Linked DNA regions of Alligator mississippiensis. The protein of the gene in region 2 interacts with the protein of the main gene of each other region in a biochemical or structural test. Links are inferred from orthologs where the notes say so. Each region holds a gene or a part of one and is shown on either strand. Other genes may lie near its edges.

Region 1 (7,776 bases), on a different chromosome or scaffold from region 2:
GCAGTGGGGCTTCAGGGGCATCAGCTCCCCCAGAACCTTCCCCCTGCCTGTGCCAGCTGGTCCCAAAAGGAGGAGGCTCCGCTGCTGCTTCTGCTGGCCAGTGCCCACACAGTCGGGCTAGCCCTGTCCTCAGCAGCACCTGGTAGGCTGGCTTCAGCCGCATGCTGCTCCGGATGGGATGGACCCGGCCGGGTCTGCACCGGCCAGGAAAGGTGGCATGCAGCTGAAGTCAGCTCCTCACGTGCTGCTGGGGATGGGAGGAGCCCAGCCAGGTCTGCACCAGCCAGCAGAAGCGGCAATGGATCCGTGTGCCGCTCGGGATGGGACAAGCCCAGCTGGAGCAGCAGGGGCTCAGCTGCACTTTCCCCCTGCCTGCACCGGTCAGTCCCAAGCAGCACATGGCTCCGCCACTGCTTTTGCTGGCTGGTGCAGACCCCGCCAGGCTCCTCACATCCCCAGCAGCACATGAGGAGCCGACTTCAGCTGCATGCCGCCTTTCCTGGCCGGTGCAGACCCGGCCGGGTCCATCCCATCTGGAGCAGCATGCGGTTGAAGCCAGCTTCCCACGTGCTGCTGGGGATGGGGCAAGCCCGGCCAGGTCTGCACCAACCAGCAGAAGCAGCAGTGGAGTGGTGTAACACTCGGGACTGACTGGAGCAGACAGGGGGAAAGTGCAGCTGAGCGTCCTGCTCCCCCAGCCCCAAGCAGCTCCTTGGAGGCTGGAACGCTGCCCACCTGCAGGGGAAACCTGCTGTTTCCTTGCAGGGAACAGAAAACCCGGATCCCTGCATGTGATACTGGTTGGGTTGCCAACCCTCCAGGATTGACCTGGAGTCTCCAGGAATTAGATATAAATCTCCAGGAGACTGCTGAGAGTCACCTAGGTGATTAAATGATAGGGCATTCATTAGAATAAATTTTAAATGTTGAATCTGATTTATACAGTAGTCCAGTGGGTTTTTAAAATGCAAGTCTTGTGTATTTGCCTTCCTGATGTAAAGTCTATACACTGTAATCCATAACTGGCATGAATGACGCATGCCCCTGGAGGCTGGGGGTGCACAGCAAATGGCCACAGGCAGCGGCAGTGGGGGGTGTGGTGGCGGAAAGCTCCTGCAGGTGGCCACGGTGATGTCGGTGGCAGGGGTGATGAGTGCTGACCAGCAGTCAATGACCAACTGTAGACACTGCAGTGTCAAGGGCAGCCAGTGGCAATTGGCGACTGCCTGCACATGCCGCCAGTGTTGTTGGCTGCAAGAGGGGAGGGTGGTGAGCAGTGACTGCCTGTGGGCGCCGCTGGAAGGACCAGCGGCACTTCTGTGGGGGGGGTGCACCGCCAATCTCAGGGGGTGTGCACCTGCGTGCACCCCCTACACATTGCCAATCATAACTGATATACGTAAGCACACAGGCATGTCTGTGTTGAGTGGCGGGCGTGCAGGCATGTCCGTGTTGTGTGGTGGGTGCGCAGGCATGTCCGTGTGTAGCAGAAAGCCCCCTTTTCCTCTTGCTTGCATTTGCTCTCCCCTCTTTGGATATGTTTCTCTTTTTCTACCTTTTCTTCCTTCCTCTCTCTTTCACTTTAAGATAAGGAATTGTGTTTTAAAATTTGTGTGTGCGCATTTTGTATCTCCCCTTGTAGTTTGGTATTTTTATTTATTTGTGTGCCATGGCATTTGTAGCTTATATTTTATACTCCTCACCTTTCAACTTTCAACTAAATGTGTTTTAGTAAGTTATACATTGTAACAATGTTAACAAGGGCAGGAATCAAACTGCCCTTCCCTGTATCAGGCTGGCCCCTGAAAGAGAGAGTGAATCAGTGATTGAATGTGTAACAAGGTAGCACACAGCAATTATCACCTGGAAGCTGCAGATCAACCAAGGGAAGAACTCAATAGAAGACAATGTAACAACCGGGAAATCTCTAAACGTGGCTGATCAAGGGCTAGAAGCCCTGGCCTGAGTTAATCAACACCGGGGACCAACTTTTGGGCTGAATATCTCCAAATCGACCACTCCCAGAGCCCTATTCAAAATTCATCAAAGGACTCCCAAACCTGCATGTACATGCAGACGACCCTGGGGCTGACAGATGCCGTCAAGTAGCCACCGAGGGGGGAAGTCCCACGAGGGTCAACGACACCTGGATTGGGCAAATCTGAAAACTGGGGAGTCACCAAAGTCTGCCAAGGACAGATAAAAGGGAGTGAAAAGTGACCCTCAGTGGCGCCCTCTTGATCTCGATCTCCAACTCGACCAGACCTGTCCAGCCAGAAGGACCAGCTGGCGACCCCCTTCTGGAAGATAACACCGTGCTGAAAGAAGCCTCAATGACAGACACCAGCACCTGTGGGATAGGTATAACTGACTCTGTAGCCTGCTACTGTGTGTGTGTGTATGTGTGTGCATGTGTGTGTGTGTGGGGACTAGCCCCAAGGTTTATGATTTAACTCATTACAGTGTTTCAATCCGCCTAATAAACTAGAATTTGAAGGATCCCGAGTTGGACATTTGTAGCCAACACGTGTTGTGTCATGGGCGCACTGGCATGTCCTCGTTGTGTGGCAGGTGCACAGGAATGTCTGTGTTGAGCAGTGGGCGCTCAGGCATGTCCATGTTGTGTGGTGGGCACACTGGCATGTCCGTGTTGAGCAGCAGGTGCACTGGCATGTCCGTGTTATGCGGCAGGTGCGCTGGCATGTCCGTATTGAGTGGCAGGCACACAGGCATGTCTGTATTGAGTGGCAGGCGTGCTGACATGTCCGTGTTGAACAGTGGGTGCACAGGCATGTCTCTATTGAGCAGCAGGCACATTGGCATGTCTGTGTTGAGCAGCGGGCATGCTGGCACGTCCATGTTGAGCGGCGGGCGCACTGGCATATCCGTGTTGAGCGGCGGGCGTGCTGGCATGTCCGTGTTGAGCGGCGGGCGCACTGACATGTCCGTGTTGAACAGTGGGCGCACAGGCATGTCTGTGTTGAGCAGCAGGCACATTGGCATGTCCGTGTTGAGTGGCGGGCGCGCTGGCACGTCCATGTTGAGTGGCAGGCGCGCTGGCACGTCCATGTTGAGCGGCGGGCACGCTGGCACGTTCGTGTTGAGCGGCGGGCGTGCTGGCACGTCCGTGTTGAGCGGCGGGTGCGCTGGCATGTCCGTGTTGAGCGGCGGGCGTGCTGGCATGTCCGTGTTGAGCGGCGGGCGCACTGACATGTCCGTGTTGAACAGTGGGCGCACAGGCATGTCTGTGTTGAGCAGCAGGCACATTGGGATGTCCGTGTTGAGTGGCGGGCGCGCTGGCACGTCCATGTTGAGTGGCAAGCGCGCTGGCACGTCCATGTTGAGCGGCGGGCACGCTGGCACGTTCGTGTTGAGCGGCGGGCGTGCTGGCACGTCCGTGTTGAGCGGCGGGTGCGCTGGCATGTCCGTGTTGAGCGGCGGGCACGCAGGCATGTCCGTATTGAGTGGCGGGCGCACTGGCATGTCCGTGTTGAGCGGCAGGCACGCTGCCATGTCTGTATTGAGCAGCAGGCACATTGGCATGTCTGTGTTGAGCGGCGGGCGTGCTGGCATGTCCGTGTTGAGCGGCGGGCGTGCTGGCATGTCCGTGTTGAGCGGCGGGCGCGCTGGCATGTCCGTGTTGAGCGGCGGGCGTGCTGGCATGTCCGTGTTGAGCGGCTGGCGCGCTGGCGTTCTGGAAACCTCCCCAGACAGACTCCACCAGAGCTGGCACTACTAGATCCTGGGACAGTAGCGATTGTGTCCAGGGGAACCTGGGACAAACGCTGCCCCAGAGCTACGCAGTCCGGGCCCAGGATTCAATGTTCATATTTTGCGACTGTCCTGCCCAATTCGGGACAAGCGGTGACCCCAGCTGCGCCTGTCGCTCCTGTTTGTCCTGTGCTGCCCCGTGTTCGGGGCCTTCGGCGTCTTCCCATGGGAGCGACCCTGCACGGGCGCCACAGCGTCAGGACTGGTTCGGGTGGTTGCTGGGCCCCGCACACCAGGGGCATCGACAGCCTCAAGCTGCCAGGAGCTGCCTGGTGCCCTCCAGACTGGGCACCGCCTAGACCAAACACTAGGCTGCAGCCCAGCCCAGCCCAGCCAGACTTTTTGTTTTGTTTTTTTTTGTTATTAAAGTACCAAAAATATACATCTCAACAAAGAAACTTCACAAATTTCACACTTAAAACGGACATACGGCTGGGGTGGGGGTGGGGATAGGAACGGGCCGCCACACTCAATATGGCGGATCCACTGCCAAGCGTCAGGGCAGCGACCCCCCCAAGATGGCGCCGGAGAGTGCGGAGGAAAAGCAGGCGAGCGTTCGCTCCACCAAAGGCTCCACCGCCACACTCAACATGGCGGCCGGCGAGGGATTGTTTTTGTTTGGCCACACCCAAGATGGCGGTCCCGAGCCGAGCCCGGCGTGGGGGGCGGGGACGCAGGGCACGCAGGGCACGCAGCGCGGCGTGCGTGGCGTGCGCAGCGCGCGGTGACGGAGCGGGGCCGCCGCGTCCCTTTGTTGGCTCAGCGGCGGCAGCGGCGCCTCGTTGTCCCGCGCGGCGCGGGCGGGCGGGGCGGGCGGCCTGCGCGGGGCGGCAGCGCGGGCGGGGCCCAGGCCGGGGCCGAGGCCGAGCCGGAGCCGAGCGGCGCGGGGCTTATCCGGGGCCGGGGCCGGGCCCAGCCGCCGCCCGCCATGGACTCGGACGAGGGCTACAACTACGAGTTCGACGAGGACGAGGAGTGCAGCGAGGACAGCGGCGCCGAGGAGGACGAGGACGACGAGGACGAGGACGACGAGCCCGACGACGATAACCTGGACCTGGGCGAGGTGGAGCTGGTGGAGCCGGGCCTGGGCGTGGGCGGCGAGCGCGACGGGCTGCTGGGCGGCGAGACGGGCGGGCTGGGCCCCGGCGGCGGCGGCGGCGGCAGCGGGCTGGGCGGTGGGCCGGGCCCCGGCGGCGGCGGCCACGAGCAGGACGAGGATTACCGCTACGAGGTGTTGACGGCTGAGCAGATCCTGCAGCACATGGTGGAGTGCATCCGCGAGGTCAACGAGGTCATCCAGGTGCGCGGGGCCGGGGGGCGCTTCCCGCCTGCGACCAAACAGCGCTGGGCCTGGAGGAGACCCCTCCCCGTCCCCCTTCCCCACCCCCTCCCCGGCCCGGCTTGATGCTTGGGCCACGCGGGGGGTGGAGGCGGTGGGGTCATGGCAGCGCGCGGCCCCCTCCCCACGCTGCCCTAGGAGCTCTGCCGCGAGCGCGAGTGCTGCGGCTCCACCGCCCCTGCCTGACATGGCTCCCTTGCAACCGGCCGTGGCAACAGAAGGGGCTGTGGACAAAACGTGGCTTCCCGTCTCCTGTGGAGGTGCCGGGAAGCTGCGTTGGCATGAAGGCAGGGCAGGGGCCGCCGTTAGCGGCAGGTTCAGGGGGGAGCAGCAGGATTCGGACCTGCTCTCAGCTGTTGTTTTTCCTTGAGAAGGTCCCGTGTTCCTGTAAGTGGTGTTGGGCCCCCCTCCCCTCCCCTCCCCTCCCCTCCCCACTGCACCGGAAATGCTCGCGTTGTCCAAGGTTTGCAGGAATAACATTTTGATGAAGGTGGCAGGGATTTTGGTGACACTAAAAGCTCCAGTCGGGAGGGCTATTTATTCTACTGTCTTCAGACAAGATGGTAATATTTTAGTGCTGATGAGTCACTATTTACAAACCAGATGCATCTTGCTGCCTTGTGTCAGCTTCTTGCTACACAATGATGACAAGAATTAAACCACTGGTTTCAAATGGCCCCTGCAGAGATGGGCTTCTGTAGGGTTAAGTGTTTACAGTAAAGCGATGCTTAGAAATGATTGTGTGCTGTCATTCCAGTGTTTCTTTTTTCATTTTACTTCTGTGTATGCCAGGCGATTTAGGATGATGGAGCGCATAGCAGTGCTCAGGAATTGATAGCAGCCTCTAGAATCAGAAAACAGAACTAGGCACTGTTGCTTTTTTTTATATAGATGTGCTCACAGAGTAAATCTTGCTGTGTAATATCTGCCATTTCCGTGCTGAACAAGGCAGATTTAAAAAAAAAAAAAATCATCCTCTTGTAAAGAGGATATTTTGGTACTTAAATTGGACTTTGAGCACTTCACGTTGTAAAACAAAACTTTGCCAATTTTGAATTAAATTGACTAACTTACTGTCCTCTGATCAAATACTGTAAATGAAAAGTAATTGAGTATTGGATATTTGCTGCCAACCAGTTCTGTGGTTTGGCTTTCTTTAAGGAACATTCAAAGTCACTGAATAAGTACCTGGAAAAAGAGTTGGTTAGAAGCAATATATATGTTTTGTACCTTCTGCCTGTAGAGAAAATAATTCTTTATCTCAGTTTGCTCAATTATTGTAGTTCAGCGACTAGTTTATTCAAGTTTGGTATCAATGAGGACTTGGACAAAATAGGAAAGCTTGAGAGAGAGCTGAGATCTACTGGTAAAATCTTGAAGGGCAGTGGACTGGGAGGAACAATTGGTTTTGTTTAACAGCCATAGATATACTCTTTCTTTAAATATAAATGCTTTGATAACCTTTTTTATATTAACTCAGTACACTGTTACATAAATTTGCATTTTAAATGCATCTTACATTATTAAATTAAACTACAGTTTCCACTCGTGTAGCCTGACAGAAGCTAGTAGTCAATAGTTTGTATAGAAAATGTGCACAATATTCTCATGTTTATTAAAAAGGTGAAGAATAAGGCAAATATGTGTATGCTAAGTTTATTACTTACACAAATATAGATATGGAATATAGCTTCTTGATTAGCAACAAAAATAGTACTTAGCAGGGGCTATATTTAGTTGTAAATCAACATTTTAATAGTTCTACCAGCCATTAAGAGATCAGCCTTCCTTGAGTGAAAGTAGCTAAAATGCATAATTGGTAACTTGCCAGCTGTGATTCTTTTGCAGTCTGACCTGGTGTTGACAGTCTCAGCCAACTGTACCCCAAGTAGATCAGTAAAACACTGAAAAATGCTGGTGCCAGTGAGGAGTAGGTTGAGAATACTTTCTTGTGAAACTTTCTAGGCTAACAGTTCAACATCACTTGCTCCTGTGCCTCATTCTCCATTAATTTCTTGGTCTTACTGCCTCTGCAAAGCCATTGGAGTCTTGTCCCTGGTCACCTAGCCTTCTGTGGTGAAGCTGTGAAGTCCATACAACCAAAGGATAGATGTTACTAAGGGGTAATAGAACCTGTAGCTCCTTTGTACGTGCAGGTAATCACTGGGGCCTGATATTGCGTTGCACTTCTTTCCCACTTCTTTAAGTGGGATGCTTTTTATAGGAGCACAGTGGACACCCCCTAGTACAGAATGACTTAAAGGATCAATGCTTAAATGACTTGTGCTGTCTTTACTGATGTTTATATGTGTTTTTGGTTCCAAATTAGTCCTCAGTTTTCAACAAGTTTTGCCAGTTGAATGGGCATGAGTTCAAAAAACATTTTTGGTGTTCAGGCTTGCATAGTACCATAAACTTTTGACCTAATATGAGCTTAAGCAGAGAAGTATGTCAGAAGAGGGGTAAGGGAAAGGAGAGCATTTAATTGTTCATTTGAATGACAACTTATTACTAATGGATTGCTTATCTGTTTGGGGATAAGTAAACTTAATTCAGTACTTATAGAGAGGCTTAAAAAAAACAAACCCCAAACCCAAAATTAATCTTACCAATATTTTATCTTTCTCAGTCTTCTATTGCTGTTTGACTTCTGCTGAAAGCTTCCA
Region 2 (8,305 bases):
CACAGACCCCCCACAAGCTCAGGGGACACTGCACCTCAGCCCTTGGTGGGGTCCCAGGGTAGGGGAGGAACAGGCAGAAAAGGGGACGGAGGGGGGTGCCCCACCCCCAATGCAGTTACCCCCATACCCAGTCCCATGCCACCCCCTGCCCCTGGAGCTGATCCACCCAAGGTCCACCTCATAGCTAAGTGGCTGCTAGGTCCGTGTCACGCAGCACTCTGCTGCCAAAAGAAAGCAGAAGGCCCAGACACAGCTCAGACCCTCCGATACCCCCTCCAGCTCACCAAGAGTGGGCAGAACTGAAAGAAAGCCTGCTTGCCCCTTGAGCTTCACCAGACACCCCACCCCTGGGAAAATTAAGAGTTGCCCCCATGGAAGAGGATCTGGGACAGCCAGACTGTCCCAGAGAGGAGCCCTGGGAGGAAACCATCACTCCGTTGACCACGACCCGCCCCCCAACAATGCAAGTGCCGAAGCAGAGGCCTCGATCACCCTGGGGTGGGTCGGGAGGCACAGCTCTCCCTTTCCGAACATATACAGGAGGTAGGAGCCCTGGGGCTCATCTTGACGAGCCCTGATGGGGAAAAGCCCCTTCCCAAAGGCTCCAGCGAGGGCACCGAAGCCACAACAGTACCTGACAAATGTCCTTCAGCACTCCCACAAAAACTCCCAGAAACCATCCCTGGCCCACACAGTGGTCCCAACACAGAGGGGTTCAAAGCAGGGTCCCCCAACAAGCAGAACAGGGACCCTGCACAGACCGTGCTCTGTTCTGCCCTTCCAAGTCCTGAGCTGACCCCACCCCTGCCCCAAAGGGCTGCATTGCTCCCTCCGCTGAAGTCCGGGGAAGCAGTGGACCAGGTGATTCAGATGGTTTCACCAGGCTTCTGCCCCCACTGGGCTGGAGGAAGAGGAAACAGCTGCCCCTCCAAGCAATCAGTTGGAGCCTGTTGAACCACAGAGCCTTGAAGAGGACAACTGGGAGTCCATGGACCATTTGGCCCTGGCGGTCCCCAGGGAGAAGCTGCTCCATTTCCTGGAGAAAGAGAGTGCGCTGTGTTCCCTGAACATGGTGCATCTCGCTCTGGACTGCTTAGGGACTTCCACTGCATCCTCAACACTGTGAGGACACTACTGGGGAAGGCAAGGGGCCAAAATGGTGCAACACCAGGACCTACACATGGGCCCACAGCTTTCAGAACACCCTTTACATCTCTGGGAGGGTGGCAGGGTTGCGAGGCCCCTGCTGAGCCAGCCGACACCCCCCAGCAATAGGTCATTCAAGATCATGACTATTGATGTCCACATCTGCAGGACAGGTCTCCACAGGTGCCAAATACTCTCCTTCCTTTGGGAAGGGTGGGTCCTCTGTGCTCTTCCTTCATGAGACTCACACGACTCCGGCCGCAAAGCCAGCTGGCAGCTGGAGTGGGGAAACAGGGTGTACATCAGCCACCTCACAGAGACATCATGTGGGGTGGCAACTCTGTTCTCCCTGAACCTGCAGCCAGAGATCCTCCAGGGTGCTGAGGAGGTGATGGGCCACCTGCTCCATCTCCGGGTCCAGGCACAGGGGTTTGTTCTGAACTTGCCGAACATCTTACGCCTCTATGCGCCACTCAGAGATGGCCTGATTCCACCTACTGTGCCACCCTCAACCCACACAAATGCCTGGTCTTCACCAAGGACTTCATAATGTCTCCCTCAAAGTGCAGGACTGAACAGGCGGGAGCAGAGCCAGGCCACCGCTGGGGTCCTCTCAGACCACTGCAGATGTCTGGTGTGCCTGCCACCCTAATGACACTACCACCTTCACCTTCGTGAGGGTGGAGAAGGATCAGGTGCACCAGTCCTAGCTGAACCAAACGTACGTCTCATTGCCAAACACTACCCAAATCTATGCCTTTGGCATTAGGCCAGCCTCCTTCAGCAAACACTACCTCATCTACCCTGGGGTCTCGCTGCAGCCTGAGTATCCAGGGCCAGCACTTTAACAACAGCCTGGTGGAGGACATGGATTTGGTGGCAGCCTTCCAGTTCTGGCTTGTCATGAGCTGCAGCCAGCTTTCCCCTTGACTTGGAGATGGCAGGATGTGGGGAAGGTGCATGTCCAGCTCTTTTGCCACAGCTACACCTGGAGGCACACCCGACAGAGGGAAGTGGCCAAGGAACAGCTTGAGAGGGAGATGCTTGGCCACTGACTTTGACAACATGTCCCTCTGCAGTGTTGGGAGAAGCAGGAGGAGCTCCAAGCTCTGGATGATTGTCATGGTCTGCCTGCGAATCCAGCTCCTTCGGGAGATGGGCTGCGGTTTGTACTTCTACGCCCTGGAGAAGAGGGGTACCAAGAAGCACATCGCCTGCAGGGAGGTTTGATATCCCCCAGCACTCGAACCCTAAACCCACTTTTGGAACCGTGTGCACACCTACAACTTGTCTCCTACAACCATACAATCACTCTGGGGAGACCTAGAAGAATTTAGCCAACAGACTAGCTACATTTTCCAGAGATCAACATGAAAACAGCTCCATTGAACATCAAACCAGTGGGGGATATCAAATCGGTCCTCTTCTGAATTGCCCATCAGTACCAACTCTTGATGCTCATGCTCCACCCAATCCATCATCCTGTCTTTGTGTCCCAGCCTGGCAACAAGTGGCAGGACACCCTAGGTGAGGTGGTGGCAAGACACCCTAGGTCCCCAGTGGCCAAGTCTCTATTCCACCAGGATCCCATGAGCTGCTGGGAACCTCAGCTGGCAGATCCTCCATGAAGCCATCGGGCATGTATCTGGCTTGCTTTACAGACACTCCCATCACCTACACCTTTTGCCAATAGAGGGAGACCCCGGCACATGTCTACCTCGAGTGCACCAGGTTGCAACCCCTCTTCTGCCTCCTTCAGAACCTCCTGCTGAGGTAGTGGCTGTACTTCTCCCTGCACCTTTTTTGTTATACCCTTCCCATCCCTGGCCCCACCAATCCCTGGGGTCTCCTGGTCAACCTCTTCCTGGCTCTGGCCAAGGTGGCCATCTACAAGACCAGGAAGGAGGCTCTGGCCAGGGGAAACCAGGGCAAGTGTAGGGCTGTCTTGCCACCACTCCTCCATTCAAGTCTCCAAGCAGAGTTTCACTGGTTGGCATCCACAGGCTCCCTCAACTGATTCAGGGGCAGTGGGTCCTGGCCAGTTTGCTCTACTCAGTGTCCCCTTCCAGATCCCTTATTTTGAACCTGTGACCTCACTCCCTTCCCTGCTTTTTTTTTTTTTTTTGTCCCAAGAAATTGGGATTCATTGATTTTTGGGTCAGAAGGGACCCAAACCACTGCTCTGGGAATGAAATTCAGAGGCTGCTTTCCTCACTCCACAGCTAGCAATGCCTTTTTCCTCCAAGCCAGGCAGCGGAAACACCATGTGTCTGGGTCCGTGAAGGCAGTTTTCCTTAAGCGTTCCCAGGGATCACTGCTGGTGTGGTTCAGTACCCGCTGAGGTGTTGGGGCTTAAAGCCCACTTTAAGGAAGTGGGAGGCTCCTCCCTTGCTTGCTCCTGCGGCCAAACGGCTGAGGTCAGGCAAAACTTGGGGGCATACAAACACTGAGTCCCCGGGTTTGGGCCAGCACGTAGTATGCCTGTCAGAAGACTTGAAATATCTAAAGCCCCTGGTGGGGGTGGAGGATGTCTGCCAGTTGTAGGGCCACTTATGGCTCTGGACTGACTCAGGATTTGAACTTGATTTGGCTGATTTGGCTTGGAACACAAAGTTTCTTTTAAAAAAAAAAAAATCCAAGCCCTTCTTGCATCTGGTCTGACCGGCAGTACCCAGCCACAACAACCTCCATGCTTTAATTTTCTTGGGATTTCCCAGTTGGTTTAATAAAAGGTATCATTTTGGAACCAAGAGTTCTAGTTTTTTGTATCAGGTATCCAGGTTGTAACCATATTGGTCTAGAGGAAAAGGCAATCAGGACTCATAGTAGTGATGATATCTTTTCTTAGACTAACAAGATTTTTGCAAAAAAAATTCTTTAATTGCAAGCTTTCAGGCAGCGTTCCCTCTAAGCCGCATGGCGTGTGACCGCACTGCCAGGCCAAGCATGCCACACAGTTTAGAGGGAACGCTGCTTTCAGGCACAAACACCCTTCATCAGGCGTTGGAGAAAAGATTGTAAAAGTCCTCCTGGGTAGACATGAAAATTGATCTTTTGTAGGCTTTCACAGAGGAATCAACACATGGAAAACTGCCTGTCTTCTTGTCCCACACCAACACAGCTACCAAGTACCCCCCCCCGGCCCAGGGAAGATGCTGAATTCTAGCCGATTTGGGATTTTAAACTTCAGTGCAGAACAACAGGAAAGGTTTTTTACCTACCTGCCTGCCAGCCTACGCCTCCAGGGGAGGAATCCCACCTGGTCTACAGCTCAGACACCCTGCTGGGCCTGGAGGGAGCCTCCCATCCCCAGCTCCCCTGTGCAAGATAGAAGTTTATTTCCTCCCTATGGGGACTTTTTACCATCTTGCACCCTCTCTACTTCTGTTGCCAGGCTGCACCCTCTCTACTTTCCCCCGAGCCTGACGAAGGGGCTCGGATCCCGAAAGCTTGCCGAAAAGGAGCATTTCCTGGCGCTTTCCCAGAGAAAGCTGCCCTTTTTGGATGGTCTGGTTTTTTTTCCTCTGTCTCTGGCATGGGAAAGACCTCCCCGGTGCGAGCGCGGAGCCCCCCGATCCCGGTCCTTCTCCCTTGGCCGAGGCCGAGGCCGGGCCCGGCTCACCTGGCAGCGCCCCGACGTGCAGCATCCCCAGCACCGCCGGCTGCAGGCGGCCGACAAGCTCCGAGAGGCGCATCCGACCCGGCCCGGCTCGGCCGCCGCCTTCCGCCCGAGGCCGCCGGCGCCTCCCCCGGCCCGCCCCGTCCAGGCCCGCCGGGCCGGCCGCTGCCCCCGCGCGGGCCACGTGTGCGGGAGGCGGCCCCGCGCCAGGCGTTTAAATGTCCCGCTCGGCAGAGCCCGCGCCCTGCGCACGGGCGGGAGCGGCGGCGGCGCCGTGAGGCTGCCCGCGCCGAGCTCCCGCCCTGCCCTGCCCTGCCCTGCCCTGCCCTGCCCGGCTCATCCCATCCCATCCCATCCCATCCCGGCCGGCCGGCCGCCCGCACGTGCGGGGTCTTTGTGCGGCGCCCAGCGCCATGCGCCGCGAGAGGTGAGTCCGCCCGCGGGCCGGGAGCGGGGCTGGGCCCAGGCCTGGGCCTCCCCGCGCGCCGCCCTGCCTCTCACCGCCTCTCTCGGCAGTGCCGGCTCGGGGGAGAAGGTCCCCGCCAAGGCCCAGGCTGCTGCCGACGCTGCCATGCGAGCCCGGAAGAGGAAAGCCGACGTGGGCACGGTGAGTGCAGGCTGGGGCAGGTGAAGCGGGGCTCCTGGCTCCTGGGGCCCTGCTTGGCCAGGTGCGGTGTCCCTCACCCCTTAGCATGCGCTTGTCTTCTTTCCCCCCTTCCTTTCTCTTCTAGTTTTTGCAGGATCCCGATGATGAAATGGCCAAAGTGGAAACAGGCAAGAAAAAGCAGTGCGGCAACCAGGTAACCGACTCGGCTCGGGATTCGGGGGGAGTAAGGCCGCTGTGATGTTTTTCCTTGTTTCGGCAAGGTGATGCCCATGGCAGCACCGACTGGTCCTGCTCCCACCCGGGCCACTTACAAAAATACACACAAAATGGGGAAAACTCCTTATAATTTTACACGCTGTTTTCTTAGATCCTTTGCTGCCACGGAATAGATGAGACCCGTGTCGGTCAAACCAAAGTAGGGTTACCAGACGTCCTGGGTTTGTACGCTTTTTTTTTTTAATGTCTAAAGGTCTGATCTTGCATTGAGCTCTGCACGGGTGCACAAAGGTCCTTCATCTCTGTACAAATGTGCATGGCGGGATTGGAGACTTGAAGACAGATGTCGCACGTAACTGTCGATAAGCGTGGATCTGACTGGAATCGCCCTTTTCAGATGTGAATTTACGGGGGGGAAGGGTATGCTTTCATCATCCCTGCCCCCATTTGTTCTCACCTTAGCAAGCACTGTTGTCAAAATGCCAGAAATTAAAAGGTGCAGAGTTAAAATTTGGAAATCCACATGCTCTACACCAATGCATGTATAATGCAGGGGGGGAAGTGCTGCATCTAGAGTTTCTCTAGGTGGGGTAGAGTAGAGTAGTTTCTATTGGAGCACTTGAGGCTCTGAGATAGGGCCAATAGGCAAATGTTAAGAGGGAGATGTCGTCACATAACAGGCATAGTCAGCTTTCTGAAACTCCTCTGTGACTATTAAGGTATCTTAATTTTGAGATTAAAACCCCGGACACTCTAGGCTGCGTGTTTGTTGCAAACTCGGCTTCCACTTTGTTTTTGTTCCACAAACTTGGGGTTCTGTCAGTTGCTGCCCCACACTTTTTATATGTAGTATAAGATATGTGAGAGTTTTTAACGGTCTTTGTGAACTTGGGCACCTTTGGAAATGGATGCAGAATAAATTTGACTGAGGCACAGAGAAATACAATACATAGACCTCATACAGAGCCTCCGTTGTTAGGACTTGAGCCAATTAGTGTGCGCAAAGGGTGATATTTAAGCTGCAAAAGTCATGATTTGGGGAATACAGCCCCTATTCATTCAGTATGTAGGGCTATGCATAATGTGGTACAGCTAACCAGAAGTGGCAGCTGGAAGTTTGAAGACTGAAGCGCTACCATAACAGATGGGCATCATTGTTTGGAATGGCCTCTGCTCGTTGCAACTGTGTATACTAGTTATCAGTCAACATATTAAGTAGGGCTCAAATGGTGAACATTTAATGAGAAGATCTAGTCTTCCCTTCTGTCTCTCTATGCAATATATTAAACTAATTTCTCACTTCTGACAAGGGGGATATTTATCTTCACCACAATTCCTTCTTCCCTAAAGTGGTGTTTTTTGTTTTGGGTTTTTTTTTGTGACTATCTACTAAAATTCTTAATGCGAACTATGATATTTACCATCTTCCCCGAAAAGACAACGGAAAGAAAAACTTGAAACATGTTTAGCAAGGAGGCCTACAATAACTCTCCTCTTAAGTTCCAGAACTAGGTATAGCGTTACGGTGTATATTGGATTCGGTCTATGTTGGAGCGATCTGTGAAACAATTGGCATATGGCAACAGAGCTACAGTCCCAGAGTGTAAATTAAAATATAATTTCTGGTAAAGCCTCATGGCACTGAGGAGAATTAAGTTCTGCAACTCTCTGTTTTATAGATAAAAATGGGTACCTCTTCCCATTTAAAGAAGATTCTTTGTTGTAACAAAGTATCCAGATTGTTGTGGATCTGTAAAATGATGAAGCTAACATTTGGCTGCACAGCAGCAGCTCTTCAGTCTGTGGTGTGACACAAGCTATTCTCTGATATAAATTGCCATGGGCCACTAATGAGAATATGTATGCCATTTCAACAGTAGTATAGCAGGCTTGTGTGATATCCAGAAAGAAAGCAAGATGGTATGTAGCAATGGTATAACTAACTCTAATGTGCTGCACTGGATTTATAGCCTCTTGCAAGTACCACGTGACATTCACATTAAACGGTTAGGCTCTGTTTTGCTCCATGTAAAAGTAGCACTGTCACATCCCACTTATGGCGTGTTCATGCTCAATTCATTAGTTGGTTTCTGTTGAACATAAGGCCCAGGCTTTTAATTAGGAAGCTGTTACCCTTTATGGGATGAAAGGGTTGTTATATCATCAGGCTGGTAGAAGCAGAATTCTGCATTTCATTTTGAAGATAACTGGTACTGTTGTAATTCTCTTAGCATTTCCCAAATGGATCGTGGTCACTAACTTGTGTACAGGTATGTTTCCAGCATTTGTTGTGAAACACAGCTCCTCTAAACAACTATTTATTGTTTTTACATATCTTAATAAAGAATGATTTGGGTGAGTTTAGTAACCCACAGAATCCTTTGATGTAAATCATGTAGCCTACTGAATTTTAGGGCAAGGAATTGAAACTAGAGCTGCTCAGAAACTTTTCAAGGAAACTTCCTTTGGAAAAGGGTAACTACTTGAAGTGGAATAAGACAAACCAGTTTATAACACTTTTGGAAGAGTTAAAGTCAATGAAATATTCTATTTCAACATACCTTCAATACAGGATTCTCTCCAAGTTCTTAATTTAGGATAAAAAGACCAAATATCTTCAGGCTCACAAATCTAAGGTTTTTAAGCTTGTTCTTATTTGGGACAGGAACTCGAAATTATTGGAAAATATAGGACGGAAAGATGATTTCTTATCTAGC
Region 3 (7,798 bases), on a different chromosome or scaffold from region 2:
ATCATCCCCACCCAGTGCTGCGAAGCCCCTCGAGAGCGCTCCATACTCCACGTTTGAATGGGTAAGGGGAGGGCATCATAGCACTCTGCAGGGGCACAGGAAGGAGGAAAAGCCACCTGAGACACAGGTGGCTTCAGTAAAAGAAGCATGGGAGGAAGTTTGGGGCATAAATACTGAATAGGAACGCCATTCTGAGAGGAGCCTGGTGGCTCGAAGACCTGGGGTTTGGTTGCTGGCTTGAATCGTGACTTGAATTAAGATTGTTCATCTCTGGGGCAGCCGATGCGGCATCTTTCCTAGACCCCAAATTCGTAGCAATTTTGACCGCCCTCTCCTTCCTTGTTTGTGCTTTCCTACTGGCTTGAAGCAGTAACCAATAGTAAACGGTGTTCATAGGCTGGTTTCTTCCTCAAAAGCTTTTGAGCAAATCAAGCTAAGTGTTCCTGTGTCCTTGCAATGACATGGGTCTGCGACATCCGCCAAGGGGTTGGGCGCCAGTCGGTGCAGCTGTGATGCATCGAGATTTCCGTATGGGTATTTCATGTTAAAGTACCATCTAGCGGCAGGTATGGGGAAGGTCCCCGGGAACCTTGCAGGCTCTGGCTTCCTGCTCCAGAAATTTGGATTTTACCATCGGAAATTCTGCTGCCGTCCTCCTCCGTTTCGGTGCTAAGACAAGCTTTTAATTTCAGCTGGAAAGCAAACGCCTGTTTCTCTAGCCTCTCATCCCTCTGCTCCTGGGATCTAGGGGCTGTCACCAGGGAGCATTTTGGTGGAAAGCCCTTGGCAGAGCGATGGCAGCATATCAATGCCCCTGGGAGACTGAGTCAGACCTGCAGGGAACGGCCACCAACCCAACATTAGCAGCTCTGGCAAATCCTGGTCACTTGGGAGAAGTCTCTTATTCCAGATGCATTCACAGACCACTTCCACGCCTCTTCCTGCAGCCATGTGAAACCGGTCCCAGGCAAGCTGCCATCGCAGGAGGAAACGGCCCATCCTAAAGCTTTGGCTTGGGGGATGCTGTCCCTGTGTAGCACCTTCCTTTTCACCTTTTAAAGACACGCATGCGTGTTCATGTGATAACGGTACTGGAAGGGGGGGAAAGGAATTATCAAGAAGGGAGGGAATTGAACCCAGATGTTGTGACAGTTCAGGGAGGAGGCTGAGAAATGCACAAATGCATTTTCCTCTCTTGGAGGCCTGCACATGTCTCGCATGAGCAGGGAGGCTACAGAGCCGCACACAGCACCTCTGCCAGGGACCGCGCTTCCTTTCCGCTCGGCAGCTCTTCTCGCAGGCAGGTGAAAGCGTGCCGCAGCACGCCGCTGTGCAAGGATGCTCGGTGGACTGCTCGTTCTGATGGCTAACGAGAGAGAACAAGTAAACCAGACCTGGGGGTGCGGGGGGAACTACAAAAAATAAACCAGAGCGGTGAGCTGCAGGCGCCTGGTGACTCTCGCCAACTGGAAGATGCTAAAGAGCCAATGAGTTAAATATGATCTGCAAAGGGGGGGAAATGAGCTTTTGGCTTTTTTTCCCCTTTGGATGCATAAGAAAGCCATGGAACATTATTTTCACAATAGAGGACTGCATTACTAGTAGGGTTACTATGAGACAAAAGCCTGAAAACTGAGCAGCTGAGAGGGGAAGAAAGGCTTAATCAGACTATTTGGATTCTTTTGGGGTTTCTCTGTTAGCCCCAAGCTTTGCTTTTTGCATGTTGCTGCTTTTCTTTTAGCTGTTCATTGCTGATAGATAAGTGGTGTCACATGAAAGCAATAGCCGGGCTCCCCTTGTCCACGCGTACACAATGCATGGATTAGGGATCATGAGCTGCTCTCTGGCTCAGCCAGAACGGCCTCAAATCATACTCTAAGTCAGTGTCTGTGGTGCGGGTACCACCAGTGGTACACGTTGGCAGATTTATTAGAATTATATGACAAAAAATTAATGGTTGTACTTCAGGCCAAGCTGAAAAAATTGCTGGTGGTACTTAATGCTGTATCATTTTAAACTGCAGTTTGGGAACCACTTCTCCAAGGAGGTTTCTGCCCGGGGTTGGGATAGTGTCCCAAGGGACATTTGGAGCGTGGTCAAGATTGCTGAGCCTCCCTTGGCACAGGGGCCATCTATCCATTACCCTCCAACCTTGTATATTGGGATCGCAGCTCTGCATGATAAAGAAGTGTTACTTAGCGCCTGTTTAAGTCAAACACCTGGAAAACAATAGGGAGAAAAAGGTTTAGGGATGAATGATTCACCCACCTCAATCATAACCTTTCAAATGCAAACTGAAGAAACCCCTGCCAGGTGCTTATTCTAGTTCTCTAGGAATACAAGGCTAACTAACCCCAGCATTTCTTCGGTTAAAAAAAACATCTAGAAAAACAAAATAAGAGATAAATTTAAGGTCTAATCCTACACTAAGGTGACTTTTTGGCTGAATGGAGCCCCATTGAACCCCAGTGCGGAAGAGTCCCAAGAGTGCCGCCCCATTGCTTTCCATTCATGTTCGCACTGATCCTTTCATCTACAGCAACGGTTCCCAAACTCTGACGGGTTGCGCACCACCAGTTTAAAATGATACAACCTTACGTGCCACTAGCACATTTTTCAGTTCAACCTTAAGTACCGCCAGGAAAGTTTTGTCATATAAAGTAGTTGTAATAAATCAGTGAATGCGTACACTGACAGGTTGTGGTGGTACGCGTACCGCTGATCTACAGCATTACTGGAGCCGAGGGGTCGGAGCAGCATTTCCCAATCCCACGGTCCTAACCAGTGGAATACACAAGGGGCCGTGTCATTGAGGGTGTGATTGGTGTCTTTGTGTAATTGCTGTCAGTTGTGTGATTGCTGTCTTCTAACACTCAAGACCTATCTGCAGCATTGACCTAAACATCCCGCTCAGTGACACAAGGATGTGCAGTGGTCTTTCTCTACACTGTGCACACACACGTACACACACAACATTGGTAATGAAACCCGTGACGCTCCCCGCCGCGGCCGCCTGGAACTGACATTTTGTGCAACGCCTTTTTATTTTGAGCTATCAGCCACCTTTTACCAAAGCCTTCACACAAAAGCGGTGCCGCATCCAAAGCAGACGACCCTCGTTGATCTTGCAAAGCTCTCACTTGGATCAGAAATGACAGGAAGGATGTGGAAGGGAGGGAAGGGTGGGGATCATGGGTTGGGGGGTGGTTGGCTTTGTCATCAGTATGTGTGATTTGTGAAATAAAGTACATCTTTTCCATCCCCAAATCGGGGTATAAACTTTTCTTCTGTCGTGTATAGTGATAATGTAATGGTTTGGGGCTTGTGTTGGGCACCAATAGGGCCAGGAAGGAATTCTTCTCCCTATTACAGGATTCTGGTTTTCTTTTGTTTCGTCTTCCTCTGATGCGCTGGGTGCGGGTCACAGCTACGGCTGGCGATGCTGACTGGCCCCTATATAGGAAGCCCAGATGCTCCTAGATGGAAGGTCCTGAATGCTCATCCTCTCGGGGGCCGCGCCAATCTCCAAATCTGGGGTCAGGAAATAAGTTTTCCTCGAGTCAAACTGTCAAAGGCTGCAAGGGGGTTTTGCTTTCCCACGGAGCATGGCTGGCTGGCCTTTTCTCTGATCGTGAGCAAACACTAGCCCAGTCCTTCCCTGGCATTGCAGCGACAGGGCGCCGTGTTTCCCACGACACGTTGTAGGGTGTCGCTCATCCCCACCACCCCGCGGGGCAGCAAGGTGCCTGGCAGCAGAGATGCGAGGCAGCTAGGGTGGTTTGCTGTCTTCATCCCATGCCTCCAGGAGCTGGGGCTTGACAGGAAAGCACGGAGCACCGAGAGGCTCGTCCTAAGCTAGCGAGGCCGGCCTGGACACTGCGGGAATGGCTGCCATGTGTGCACCTCATGGCTGTGTGAGGCTGGACCAGGACCTGGGGGCCAAGCTGGGTCTCTAGAGCAGCCTCATGCCCCACAATGAAGCTGGGTGAAGGGACTTGCGGACTACAAGTCCCAGCATGCAATGCGCCCGGCGGCCCAGCTTCCCCTTTGGGCCAAGAGGAGCATTGCATGCTGGGACTTCCAGTCTTGTTGGCGCTTGCGCCAGCATGGGGTTGCATGCTGTTGGCTTGCTCACGAGAAAAGCCGCCGACGAGCCCATCGAGCAAGCTTAGTGGTCGGGTCTGCTGTCAAACAACCCTGGGCGAGGGAGGAGACAGGGCTAGGCTCGTTTCCATTGGCCGCACACGAGCCTCCTTGTCTGTTCTATTGGTCAGCACTGAGGAGGCCTGTTAACCTCTCAGGGACAGGCTTGGGGGGATTGGCTGCCGGCAAGGCGAAGCGCCGCGTGCTATTGGTCACTCTTTCCGTCGCTCAGCGCGACAGCTGGGCCGGGCGAGAAAGGGAAACGAGACTGGCGCCAGGTGGGCGGGCTGAAATTGGGTGCCGCCGCTGCTGATTGGTCGGCGCGCTTTGGCGCCAGCTTCGGAGCGGGGGGGCGGCGGAGCGGGAGAGCGCGCGCGCGCCGGCTGCGCTCAGGGACGGGGGCCGCGGGGGGTCAAAGCTCCCCTGCGCTGACAGCTGCGCTCAGCGCGCCCGCCGCCATGGAGCCCCCCGCCGCCGCCGTCAAGGCCCTGTTCCCCGCAGAGCTCTCCCCGGTCACCGGCCTCGGCTTCGCCCTGGGCCGCCTCGGACGAAGGTGAGACCCCTCAGAACCCCCCTTACACAAGCCTGCCCTTCCCCCACCCCTCAAACCCCCCTTTACACAGGCCTGCCCTTCCCCCACCCCTCAAACCCCCCTTTACACAGGCCTGCCCTTCCCCCCCACCCCTGAGGTGACCCCCACATCCCCTGGTCTCCCCTAAACCGAGGCGAGTGGCTGGGTTTGGCCGCCGGCCACCATCCGACTTTCTCACGGGTCTCGTCCCAAAATCGATTCCAGCGATCGCACCCGTTGCAGGGAGCGTCGTCGTCTTCCAGGATTTCGAACCGTGCCGATTTTGACTTAATCTGCACCGTTCTGGTAGGGCCGAGACGGGCGGAAGGAAAACTGAGATTCTCTTTAGAAAGTGTCTGATTCTCGCTTGGGAAGGCGCAGGTGGGGACCCGAGACGCTCCAAAGCCGGAAAGCAAAGAGCGCGCTTTCAGTCGCGGCGGTTGTGAGCCCCCGTTCGTGGTTGTAGAGCTTGGTGGGTTTTCGCACGAGCAGTGCCTCTGTGGAAATACACGTGAGAACACGCGGGGGTTTATTTCCTGAGCGGCACGGGGTCCAGGCCAGTGGCGGGGAGTGTGATGGAGCCACTAAGTACGCTGTCCTTACAGCGACTATTCAAGACTGCTGGGTCCTGGAGCCGTGACCACGTCGTTCATTAAACCAGCGGTTCTCAATGCTTTTTAGACTTGAGGTCCTCCAAATCTAATGGGTGTCCCCGCATTAGACTCGAGGCCCTCCTCAAAAAACACCGGCTCCCTGCTCTCCCTCACGTCGCTCGTGAAATGATACCAGAGCAATTTTTCTGTTGCAAAGAACTCGAAAAGCTCGCAACGGGTCGACATGTTTTCTGATCCCTACTTGAAGCTTGGGTTTATCTTGTAAATTGCACGCGGTTTATTTGTCGTCTCTCCTTTTTCTTAATGAAAACCATTCAATAAAATAACTCACTTATTTTGGGATCTTTGTAGCCAATTTGAAAACTCTGAGCAGATGCTGGAAATGAAGAACGGTAACAACCTACAAAGAATGGCCTCGTCAGAATCTACGGACTCAGGTTAGATTGCTTTAATCGCAAATAAAAGCTTGGGAATGAACAAGTGGCATCCTCTTGTTTGCTTGATGTCTGTAATGGGCAAACTTAAAGTTTTAAAAGTCCAGGCTAATGCTGCACGCTCTCGGATAGCTAATCACGTTAGTCTGAAGTCAGGCAGAAGATGGTGCGGAGTAGCACGAAACCAACTGATTCAGAGGCACGACCCGTTATAGGCACCAACGTACTGTGTCAGGTGCTATGAATGCAGTGCCAGAAAGCAAGGGTTTTATATAGAAGGGAGCAAGGAGAGGAGCTGCTGCTAAGAGAGGTAAGAAGTAGATTGACTGGGTGAATTAAAATGCAGTTAACTGCCTTGTTCATCTTAAATTGATCTAATCGAACCACTTATTACTAAGTCTCTTGGCAGCTGTTTCTTCCCTCTGTTCCCTTCTGTATAAAAGCTCTTCTTTCTGTCAGCTGAACAGCTTGCTGTCAGAGATGCCTCAAGCCTTCAGAACTTAGTTAAGCATCAGCTGAGGCTTTAAATCACGGTTTTGTGGTCAGTGTCTGTGCAGGTGCTAATAAGGGAGGATCATTTGTGTCCAAAGCCAACTTCTCCTATACCTCCTGGTGGCGCCACATGCTGGTTGTCCCCCTAACTGCTGAGCTTGCCCTCTGGGGTTAGTTGTGTGTTAGTGATGCCATCTTTGTCTAGACTAGCAGGGATGTGGCTGGTGTGCTACATACAAAGCTCCATGCCCTCCCTCCCCAAGTGCAGTTCTGATCTCCTTCTCCTGCCTGACCTGCTGCTCTGCTTTCTGTTCCCTCCCTGATCTATCATATGCCATGCACATGGGCTGCCTGTGCCACTAGTGTCCACCCCTGGTCTAGCCCTTGGAAAGTCCTGAGTGGGGGAAAGGTGCTACCTTTGTTGCTTACAATTGCTTAATGCTTTCCTAATCCTAAAGACCTGAGCATCAGGGATTAAAGACCACCTTTTTCCTTAGATGTGTTCCCCCTTTCATGTGCAGCCTGATAAAACTTGCATAAAGACAGCAAAGCGGAGTGAGATAACAGGAGGGTGCAACATGGAGACGTGAAGAGGCAGCTTGCTTCTGTCCACTTGTTTAAAACAATTCTTCCAGAGTCCCTTGAGGATATCCTGTAAGCTCCAGCAAAGCTGCTTCATTGTTCTCCTTTAAATACTTCCTTAAGACTCCTTTCGTTATCATGCCTCCAAAGAGCAGTGATTAGGCAATGGCCCGAACATGCCAGAAGCCTACATTGCTGACCAATTTTTCTTTGTATTTGCTCATCAAGGTGAGGTGGATGGGTGTGGAGTGCCATTGTGCATAACGATGGGTAGACATCACATCACACCCATACAGACATCTGAAGCTGTTTGGGGCAGGGAACCTTTTTGCTATGTACTAGATGTTTTACAGGCACAACTTTCTGGCTCATGACCTACAATAATAAAATATAGGCTCCTGGAAAGCAGGCTTATAATTGTTGATGGTCTTAAGCATACCAGAAGGAAACTGCATCTGTAATGTTGCAACTTGAATGCACACACGGAACATTTGAGGTGGAGATTAGGAAGAACTTTCTGACTCTAAGGGTGGTTAAGTATCTGTATAGCCTGTTCTGGGCTGGGATGGTTTTAGAAGTGCTTCTCCTCTGAGCAGAGGGTTGGACTACATGAGGGCCCTTCCAGCTTTATTCTTCTGTGATCTAACTCTGAGGTGCTAGCTCGCTTTCTTGATACTGATTCTTCTTACAAAGAGCTCGGTAGATAATGAGATGCATACTCTTAATTTAGTTGGGATGAAGTGGAAGTAAAACTTTATATTTAAGACAGAATTCCTTAGCAAAGTTGCTTCCTGTTAGTTTGTGTGCATATATATGTAAAAATAAGCAAAAATATAATTAATAACACAGTTTTAAGGCAAGAAGCTTCTTCATACAGGGCAGTACCACAGGATGCTTCTTGTAACCAATATTTATGGCCAGAAGCATTAATGGAAGGGAGGACATGTGTCGGGGACTTTCCT
Region 4 (7,698 bases), on a different chromosome or scaffold from region 2:
AATTGGTGGTTAGCTGACCCAGGGAGCCAGGTGAGACAAAGCCTGATACAGGGAGTCATCTGACTCAGGAGGAGGGCTGGGTTTACAGCAGGTATAAGCCCAGGCCCTGAGAGAATCCAGCAGTAAATTTGGAGCCTGTTGAGAAAACGCCACCTCCACAGGCAGGTTGCAGCTCCAGAAGGTCAGCTTGGAGAGTACAGAAGCAGTCTGGAGGTTTGGGGAGGAACTAAGGGGAGGAGGAGGTTCTTAGAGACCCAGGGAGGGGTCTGGAGCCCAGAGCAAGAATGAGGGTCCAGGAACTCCAGAGGAGGGATAAGTGAAGAAGATATCAGTCAGGATGCATCTGTGAGGCATGGGGCATGGTATAGGGAAGGAATGAGCCATGCAATTAGCCCATACAGCAGTGACCACAGGCACCTGGGCTTCTTGCAGACATTAAAAAAGAAAAAAAAAATGTGCTTTACTGGAAGAGGAAGCACATTACTTCAAACTGGATCTGCAGCATCTGCATAGATCAGGCATTTCAGCAGGGTTTTTTGGCACTTTTAGCTAAAGCTTTTAATTAGCTATTAAATTAAAGCCCCACTAAAGCACCCGATCTCTACAGTTGTCAGGCAAGCTGGGTCTAACTGATGTGCTGCCTCTTGTGGGCATGTGCTGGGCTCAGCATGAGAACATGGCATGTTTAAAGTACCTTTTTTTTTTTAACATCTGCAAGCAGCTCTGGTGGTCATTTGAAAGAGCAATTTGGGAAGTCCTAGGCAGCCTCTCTCATAAAAGTATATGATATTAAGACATGACGGACAACTGAAGGGTGACTGCCCAGAAAGTAAGGGCCGCATCCAGGGGCTTCACGGCCACCTCTGGAAGTTCACCCTGCCACTTCAACATCAGTGAATCTCAGACTGCTGTCAGGTTGTTTTAAGGGTGATGCAGGATGCCATGCAATATTAGCACTGTTAGGCATGCACATGATTCCCAAGATAGACCCAGTAGGCATTTATACACATGCTCTGGGAGGCGGGGGGTGGGGGTGCTTTAATTACAGCTGCTCTAATTAAAGCATCAGGAGCAACATGTGTATCAGCATCCCTACGCTGAAAAATGGCAGCAGGGACACTTTGACTAAAGCTTATCAAATGAGCTTTAGTTAAAGCACCCCCAACTGTCATTTATCAACACAGGGATGCTGATACACGTGACACTGGATTCTGCTGGAGCATGGTAGTTACCCCATTCCAGCACAGGTACTATGGATTATGATGTGCTGTAATTAGTGTGTCAGAGCAGCCTCAATGTACGTGGATAGGTGCCCAGTGATTTCAAACAGGAATCCATAGTACCTACTGAAAACACTCTGACCCGTTGTGGTCTTTCTGAGCCCCTTGTAACAAAAGACTTGCTCCATTGTTTTCCCATTGTAAAAAAAAAAAAGAGCAGAAGCTAAGAGCTATCACTTTCACAGGGGTCCCAAGGGCTAACAAGGGGTGCCTTAGGTCTAAAAAAGGTTGATAATCATTGGTTTAGATATGCTAGAGTACAATCTAATCATGTAATAAAGTGTATTATAAAAAATAAAACCTTAAAAGTGAGATCAAACCAGTGGTAGAAAGTTTAACAATTGCCAAAGTTGAGGAAATAGAGACAAGCAGGATGTGAAATCCCTCCAACTTTTTCAATATGTTGTTCTGGTACATTAAAAAGATTTATACATTTACATTCACTACGAATGACCTTAGTGAAACTAACTTGCCTACAATTAAGTGCTCATATTTGCAGGAGTGTAAGCCTACATTTTTACATAATAAGACTGCAGTCTAAAGGAGGGCTTTTGGACATTGCCATCCGACAAGTGTTTACTCCTTATATAGTCTAAAATTCTGTTATTAAGCCTCCCCAGTCCTTCAAAAAGGGGACTCAAGACTTGGTATTTCAGAATGAAGGAAACCCACAGATGGCTGAAACCTTTCTTTCTTTTCATGTTGCTTTGTTGGATCTAATCTAATACCTGCTTAAGCCAAAAGGACATCTTCTAAACAGTTGAAGCACATTGTGTGAGGCTTTACAGAATGGTAATTTATGATCAAAATATAATAATGTATTTTTTAATTAATGTTGCCAATTATCTTTTTAGAGTTAAATGTAAAAATGAAAACTAATTATGGAAAACACTTTTTTCCCCCCAAAAGCTGAATTTGTTTGATTTGACTGTAAATATTAAATCACATACATTGTGTTCTTAGTACTATATGATAATAGGTTAGTGCTAGGAGAAGCTTTGCTTTTAATTACTGTTGGCTATAAGATTATTTGGGACCTCTAGAAAGGGAAAATGTTACTTATCAGGTATTTTCTAGAACAGAACGTTTTTGTTTATATTTAAAGTAGACTTGCTTATGCTTAATTGTCAATATTTGCTGTATATAGTGAATTCCAGAGACCTGTGAGAGAAGTCTCTAGCATTTCTTTTTCTTTTCCCCAGGAAAACAAATATAAATTAAAAAAGAGAAAAAAAGAATACTGTTATATACACCTTGAACTGTACCCACAAGCAAACAAAAAGCCAGTCCAGAGATTTGAGCACAGATGTTGTGTACTTGTAATAGCTCGTTCCACTTGCAAACTGAGCAGCTGCATTCTGCACTAGCAGAAGCTTTGATTTTTATTTATTACATTTGATGGGAGCAATCAATTAACACAATTATTGCAAAAAAGCTTCATTACAAACACAGGGCCCAATTCTGGACTCTCTACTGATGGCAGCCATCCCAGGATCTTCAGTGGAAGTGCTTCTCTAGGGACTATTAATGAAAGTAAAGATTACTGGATCCACCCCTGGGTCATCTTCATCCTAAAAGCTATCAGCTGGAGAATTACATCCTTTTCAATGTACTATTCACTAGTATTGTGAGAGTTATTTTTGGAAGTTATTATTAAAAAGTGTGTTTTTCATTATCTTCATGGTTATTTAGTGATGTTCAACTGTTTCTTTCCCTCACCTTTTCCTAGGGGTTTGCTAAAAATACATTGGGTTAGCTACGTTAACTAAAAATACACACTTAGTACCATTACATTATTCACCTGAGGCTCTGAAGCATGATCTACTGTACATCTCCTGTCCCCTGTCTCTCTGGTCACCACTGGCCCTGCCCAGGCCTTGGGAGTCACCTGGGTGCCAGAGACAGATTTTTGCCATATGATTTGACATTTGTCATAATCGCGCCAAACAGCAACTTGAGAAGAAAACATTTTTGCGCCATGCTTTTGCACAGTACGATCGAGTGCATGCCCTGTGGATACCCTGGCCCTCTGATGCAATGTGAATGGCCGACAAAAAACAACATCGTGCCACAACGGCGCCGACCTGACGCATTACGAAGCTCAGGAGCAAACCCTCTGGAGGGGACATCTCCTCCTTCACATGGGCTTTTCCCAAGGCCTGGAGGCTCTATCAGTGACCGCTGACCTCCACAGAAAGACCTGCCAATCCCACACAACCCTGTGGCAAGTACAGTCCCCAACACTCTCTCAATACGTCTTTCACAGGCACATGAAACTAAACCAGCAGTGCTCAAACACCTTGGCCTACGGGCCACATCTGACCCTTTGGAAGCCCCAGTGAATGATGCCATCTCTCTCCCACTGCCCAACCTCTGGCCCCGTGGGGAGCACGGTGGCAGGAGGCAGAACCTGCCGGGCGCACCACACAGTCAGGCAGGCAGGCAACGTACCACGCTGTTCTTCATCATGGCCTTGACGGTGAAGCCGTCGCTGACCTGTGGCTTGGCTTTCTTGGCAGGCCGCAGTGGCAGCTGCTGTTGTGGGGGGAGGTGCCATGCTGGCTTCAGGGCACAGGCGCCCTGCTGCTCCACCACCATCTTGCCCCGCACCTTCCTAAAAGAAATAAAAGGAAAGTAGGGATGAGAAAGGAACCAGGGGCAAGGGTTACATTTATTGCATTTGGAATAAATCTAAGAAAATTTACATTAAATGAACAAAACAGGGATCAGAAACATGTCAGCCAGATGCAAAAAGAAGTCAGCCCTCCCCCCCCCCATGGGATGTCCCTCCCACCCCACCCCAGAATGGGATGCTTCCCCCCGCCCCACAATTGGATGCTTTCCACCCTCTCCCTGCCACCCCCACAATGGGATGTCCCTCCCCTACGCCCCACAATGGGATGCTCCCCCCGCCTCACCCCGCGGGGGCTCGCGGCAGGGGCGGCTGCGCGCGGGGTGGACGCTATAACCGAGTCAGTCGCCAGCGCGCGCGCGCTTCTAGGGACGCGTTCCGGTTGCTAGGCAACGCGTCAACAACCTGTCGGCTGGCCGCGCCCGGTCACGTGCGGCAGCCGAGGGAAAGGGGGAGGAGTAGAGGTGTCAATTTGCGTCGATCACGTGATCCCACGTGAGAACTACGCTCCCCAGCGTAGGTTGCGCCCCTCCCTTTCCCAACCGCCCGCTGAAGCAGCTACGGCACCAGCAGCGACTTCGCTGCGCAGGCGTAGTGTGACTCAGCGGCCGGCAGGGCGCAGGGCGAGGCTTTGCGCAGCGCGGCTCCTCCCCCCCCACCCCTCACTGCGCCGGGGCTATGATCGGTGAGTGAGTGAGACCCGGATGTAGCGCCCCCTTTTTTTTCCTCCCGCCCCGTCCCCAGCGGCCACCATGACGCAGCGCGCGGCGGAGCTTGTGACGTACCCCCCCCTCCGTCATGCACAGAACACGCCCCTCCACTGGCCCTCAGTGTGCCCCTCCCCCCGCAGGCCTTTGGGGCCACGTGGGCCCCTGTTTGTGCTTACCCCTGGCCCTGAGTCACGAGGGTGTCAGTCCTCGCACCCTGGCTCCCTGAAGCAGGTGGCCTGTGCCATGGTCCTTGGCCACGAGAGAGGAAGGGGTTGGCTGGGCAAGGGGAAGTGTGAGATGCCCCAGCCTTTACTTACAGCCCAAGCCAGAGGCAAAGGCCTCAGGGTTCCCAACCCTCCAGGATTTCCTTGGAGTCTCCAGGAATTAGATACAAATCTTCAGGAGACTGCTATGAGCACCCCCCACCCTGGAGATCAGTGATAGGGGTCTCATTCAAATAAATAGGAAATGTTGAGTCTGATTTATGCAGTAGTCCAGAAGGTCTTTCATATGTAGCAGTATCGTGCATTGGCCTTCCTGGCCTGAAGTCTACACACTGTAAACCGTAACTGATGCATGCAGGCATGTTTGTGCTGTGTGTCGTTATGTCATGGGATGAAACCTCTCAGAAGAGATTCAAACAGAGTTGGCAACCTTAGACGGTCCCGATATCTTTCTCTTGACCCTGGGGCCAAGTTGTGAAGGCCCAAACTTCTCCCTCATCCTTTTTTTTTTTTTTTTTAATTATTTCCGGGTTAACCTCTTCCAACCACAGTGCTGGCATGGTCTCTTCTAGTTAACTGCCTCCAGCTTTGCTGCAGTGCATCATTATAAATACTGGTGGCAGCCATTGGGGCCATCTTATCTTCCCTTGCTCTGGTGTTACCCAGGGTTCAAATTACATCAAATTTGATTCTTCCAGGGGTTTGCAAAAGCAATTGGGCTACCCACAGTGCCATATTAACGCATAGGCAAACCAGGCACATGCCTAGGGCCTTAAGTGAAGAAGGGGACCAGTTGTGCTTATTTACATATTATAATTACTGACTGAAAAAAAGTAGGGGCCCATGAATTTGTTTGCCTAGGGCCCACTAAAGGGTTAATCCAGCCCTGGCTGCTCATCACTATGCTCTAATAAAATTGGAGACTCCCCCCAGGTTATGATTTTCAAATCTTACAGGGGAGCTCTCATCTCTTATGCAGGGGACTCAGCCCTACTGAGCTCCCCAGTAATTCAAACCTTGGTGTTACCCTTCCTGGCAGCAGAACTAAAGCGGGGCAGTTGTGTGATCTGGGTAAGGTGCTGTGCTGGTCATCCTTGAGGACCCTGTTCTACATTCAAATTAAAACTGGATAGAAACCAGTTATATTGTGGTTTCCTGTTCTCAAATGCTAACTTTGTAGCTGGTTGTCTCTCTTTAAAGCAGGGTAGTTATTTTTATTGTGTGATTGTTACTTGCCGCATGTAGCTGGTCTAAATTTATTGCAGGATTAACTTGTTAATTGTATTACTTTGCATGTGTGGCCTGTCTAAATTTATGTTGGGTAATTGTGTAATATCTGTAAGTTATAGTGGGCGCCTGAGTTAGCAATGTGCAGCCTTCTGATAGCACGACCATTCAGTTGTTTCACTGGCTATAATTTCGTTTGGAAAGAAGAGACAATTTATCTTCAGTATTTCCCTTCCATCATTGTAGGGCTCCACCAAACACAAAAGCCACCTCTTCCCTTACTACGTCTCTTTCCCCCCTGCGTCTCTCTTTTAATTTCATTTTTGTAATTTGTTAATTATTCACAGACAAGACCAAAGGAGCAGAAAGTGGGATGCTAAATGAATTTAATACTAAATAAAATAAATTATTTTCCTCCACCCACAGATTTTAAATGCTTTTCTCTGCCCTTCATATTGGGTGTTTGTCCACTTTCTGAGAACTGATCAGTTTTGTGATTGTTGGACACATTGCCCAGGCAGCAACAGTAATAATCCAAGAATTCGGTAATGGAATTGACTCAAAGGATTTTGGACACTATAAACTTCATGGCTTTTACCCTTAGAAATGTTCATTCCTTTTTAACAGTAATGTTCTGGTAAAAACATGTACTGTAGTGGTATTCTTTAAAACTAAATTCTTCCCAACCCTGTCAAAAAAGCACAAGTTTGATCATGTGGTTTTCCATCTCTGAATATTCATGGAAATAAGTCTCTTCATAGCTCTATACAGTCCATACCTGGCCTTTTGTCTGCACGTAGTTTTCTGATACAGTAGAGAATATGCAAAAGTCTTGATTTCAGGGAAAATATTGTAGTATCCACATGTACTTATATCTTGATAAAATATATGAAGGGCAGGTTTCTTGTTTACAGGAATACATTTTATTTATTTTTCTCTAATTCCTGTAAAAAAAATTAGTATGTTACAATTTAAAAAGGTGTAAGTATCTCACATTTCTGAAGAAAGGCTCAGGAGTTAGTTGCTTGAGGTTGTGTTAGGGTTAATCTACCAAGTTCTTTATTGTTACTTAGTTATTTTGCATTCATAGGATATGACTTTAAAAGAATGAAAAATATAAATTGATCAGAAAAAATCTCAAAACAATTGTTATATCCCAACTGTATATTGGTTTGTAAGGCTGTGCGAAACGGCACCGTTCCATTTTGGCTTGAGTTTCAAGGTTTCAACAGAACAGCATTTTGTTTTGAATTTCATTTCAATTTGAAACCGCTGTTCTGTTCTGTTTTGTTTTGTCAAAACAGTGTCACTGTTTCGACGCTGTTTCGCCATTTTGCCCATACAATATAATGGGGAAGCTTAAAACAGCCTCTCTCATCCAGCAGGCAGATGGGGGCCCGCAACCGTGGGAGGGCTGCAGGGACTGTGCCGGTCCTACCGGGGCTGCAGGCCCCTGACCTGCCTGCCAGATAAGGGAGGGAAGCCGGGTGCTGCTGCTTGGGACTGGGGAGCTGGGGAAGGGAACTGAGCCCGATCACTCAGTTCCCCTCCCCAGCACTATGATCAGGCTGGGGAAAGGAACTCAGCCCAGCTGAGCTGAATTCCCCTCTCCAGCACTAGGATTG

The links.
Region 1: of the proteins of CCNE1 (region 2) and ARIH1, one has a biochemical effect on the other in vitro, tested with the Homo sapiens proteins (3 studies listed by BioGRID). The link is inferred for Alligator mississippiensis from reciprocal best matches to the Homo sapiens genes CCNE1 and ARIH1.
Region 3: the proteins of CCNE1 (region 2) and CDC25A form a complex in vitro, tested with the Homo sapiens proteins (2 studies listed by BioGRID). The link is inferred for Alligator mississippiensis from reciprocal best matches to the Homo sapiens genes CCNE1 and CDC25A.
Region 4: of the proteins of CCNE1 (region 2) and PRKN, one has a biochemical effect on the other in vitro, tested with the Homo sapiens proteins (2 studies listed by BioGRID). The link is inferred for Alligator mississippiensis from reciprocal best matches to the Homo sapiens genes CCNE1 and PRKN.

What each region holds. Positions count from the first base shown.
Region 1 is NC_081834.1:44,697,057-44,704,832, reverse strand, and holds the start of ARIH1 (E3 ubiquitin-protein ligase ARIH1), read left to right. Parts: upstream 1-4,586; 5' UTR 4,587-4,699; coding exon 4,700-5,071; intron 5,072-7,776. UniProt on the Homo sapiens protein: E3 ubiquitin-protein ligase, which catalyzes ubiquitination of target proteins together with ubiquitin-conjugating enzyme E2 UBE2L3.
Region 2 is NC_081833.1:57,478,210-57,486,514, forward strand, and holds the start of CCNE1 (G1/S-specific cyclin-E1), read left to right. Parts: upstream 1-5,086; 5' UTR 5,087-5,178; coding exon 5,179-5,192; intron 5,193-5,281; coding exon 5,282-5,372; intron 5,373-5,496; coding exon 5,497-5,565; intron 5,566-8,305. Other genes in the region: uncharacterized protein F13E9.13, mitochondrial, read right to left, coding at 4,769-4,841. UniProt on the Homo sapiens protein: Essential for the control of the cell cycle at the G1/S (start) transition.
Region 3 is NC_081828.1:218,037,432-218,045,229, reverse strand, and holds the start of CDC25A (M-phase inducer phosphatase 1), read left to right. Parts: upstream 1-4,106; coding exon 4,107-4,162; intron 4,163-4,375; coding exon 4,376-4,696; intron 4,697-5,679; coding exon 5,680-5,765; intron 5,766-7,798. UniProt on the Homo sapiens protein: Tyrosine protein phosphatase which functions as a dosage-dependent inducer of mitotic progression. Directly dephosphorylates CDK1 and stimulates its kinase activity. Also dephosphorylates CDK2 in complex with cyclin-E, in vitro.
Region 4 is NC_081824.1:140,162,110-140,169,807, reverse strand, and holds the start of PRKN (E3 ubiquitin-protein ligase parkin), read left to right. Parts: upstream 1-4,516; 5' UTR 4,517-4,590; coding exon 4,591-4,597; intron 4,598-7,698. Other genes in the region: PACRG (parkin coregulated gene protein), read right to left, coding at 3,082-3,168, 3,732-3,878. UniProt on the Homo sapiens protein: Functions within a multiprotein E3 ubiquitin ligase complex, catalyzing the covalent attachment of ubiquitin moieties onto substrate proteins. Substrates include SYT11 and VDAC1.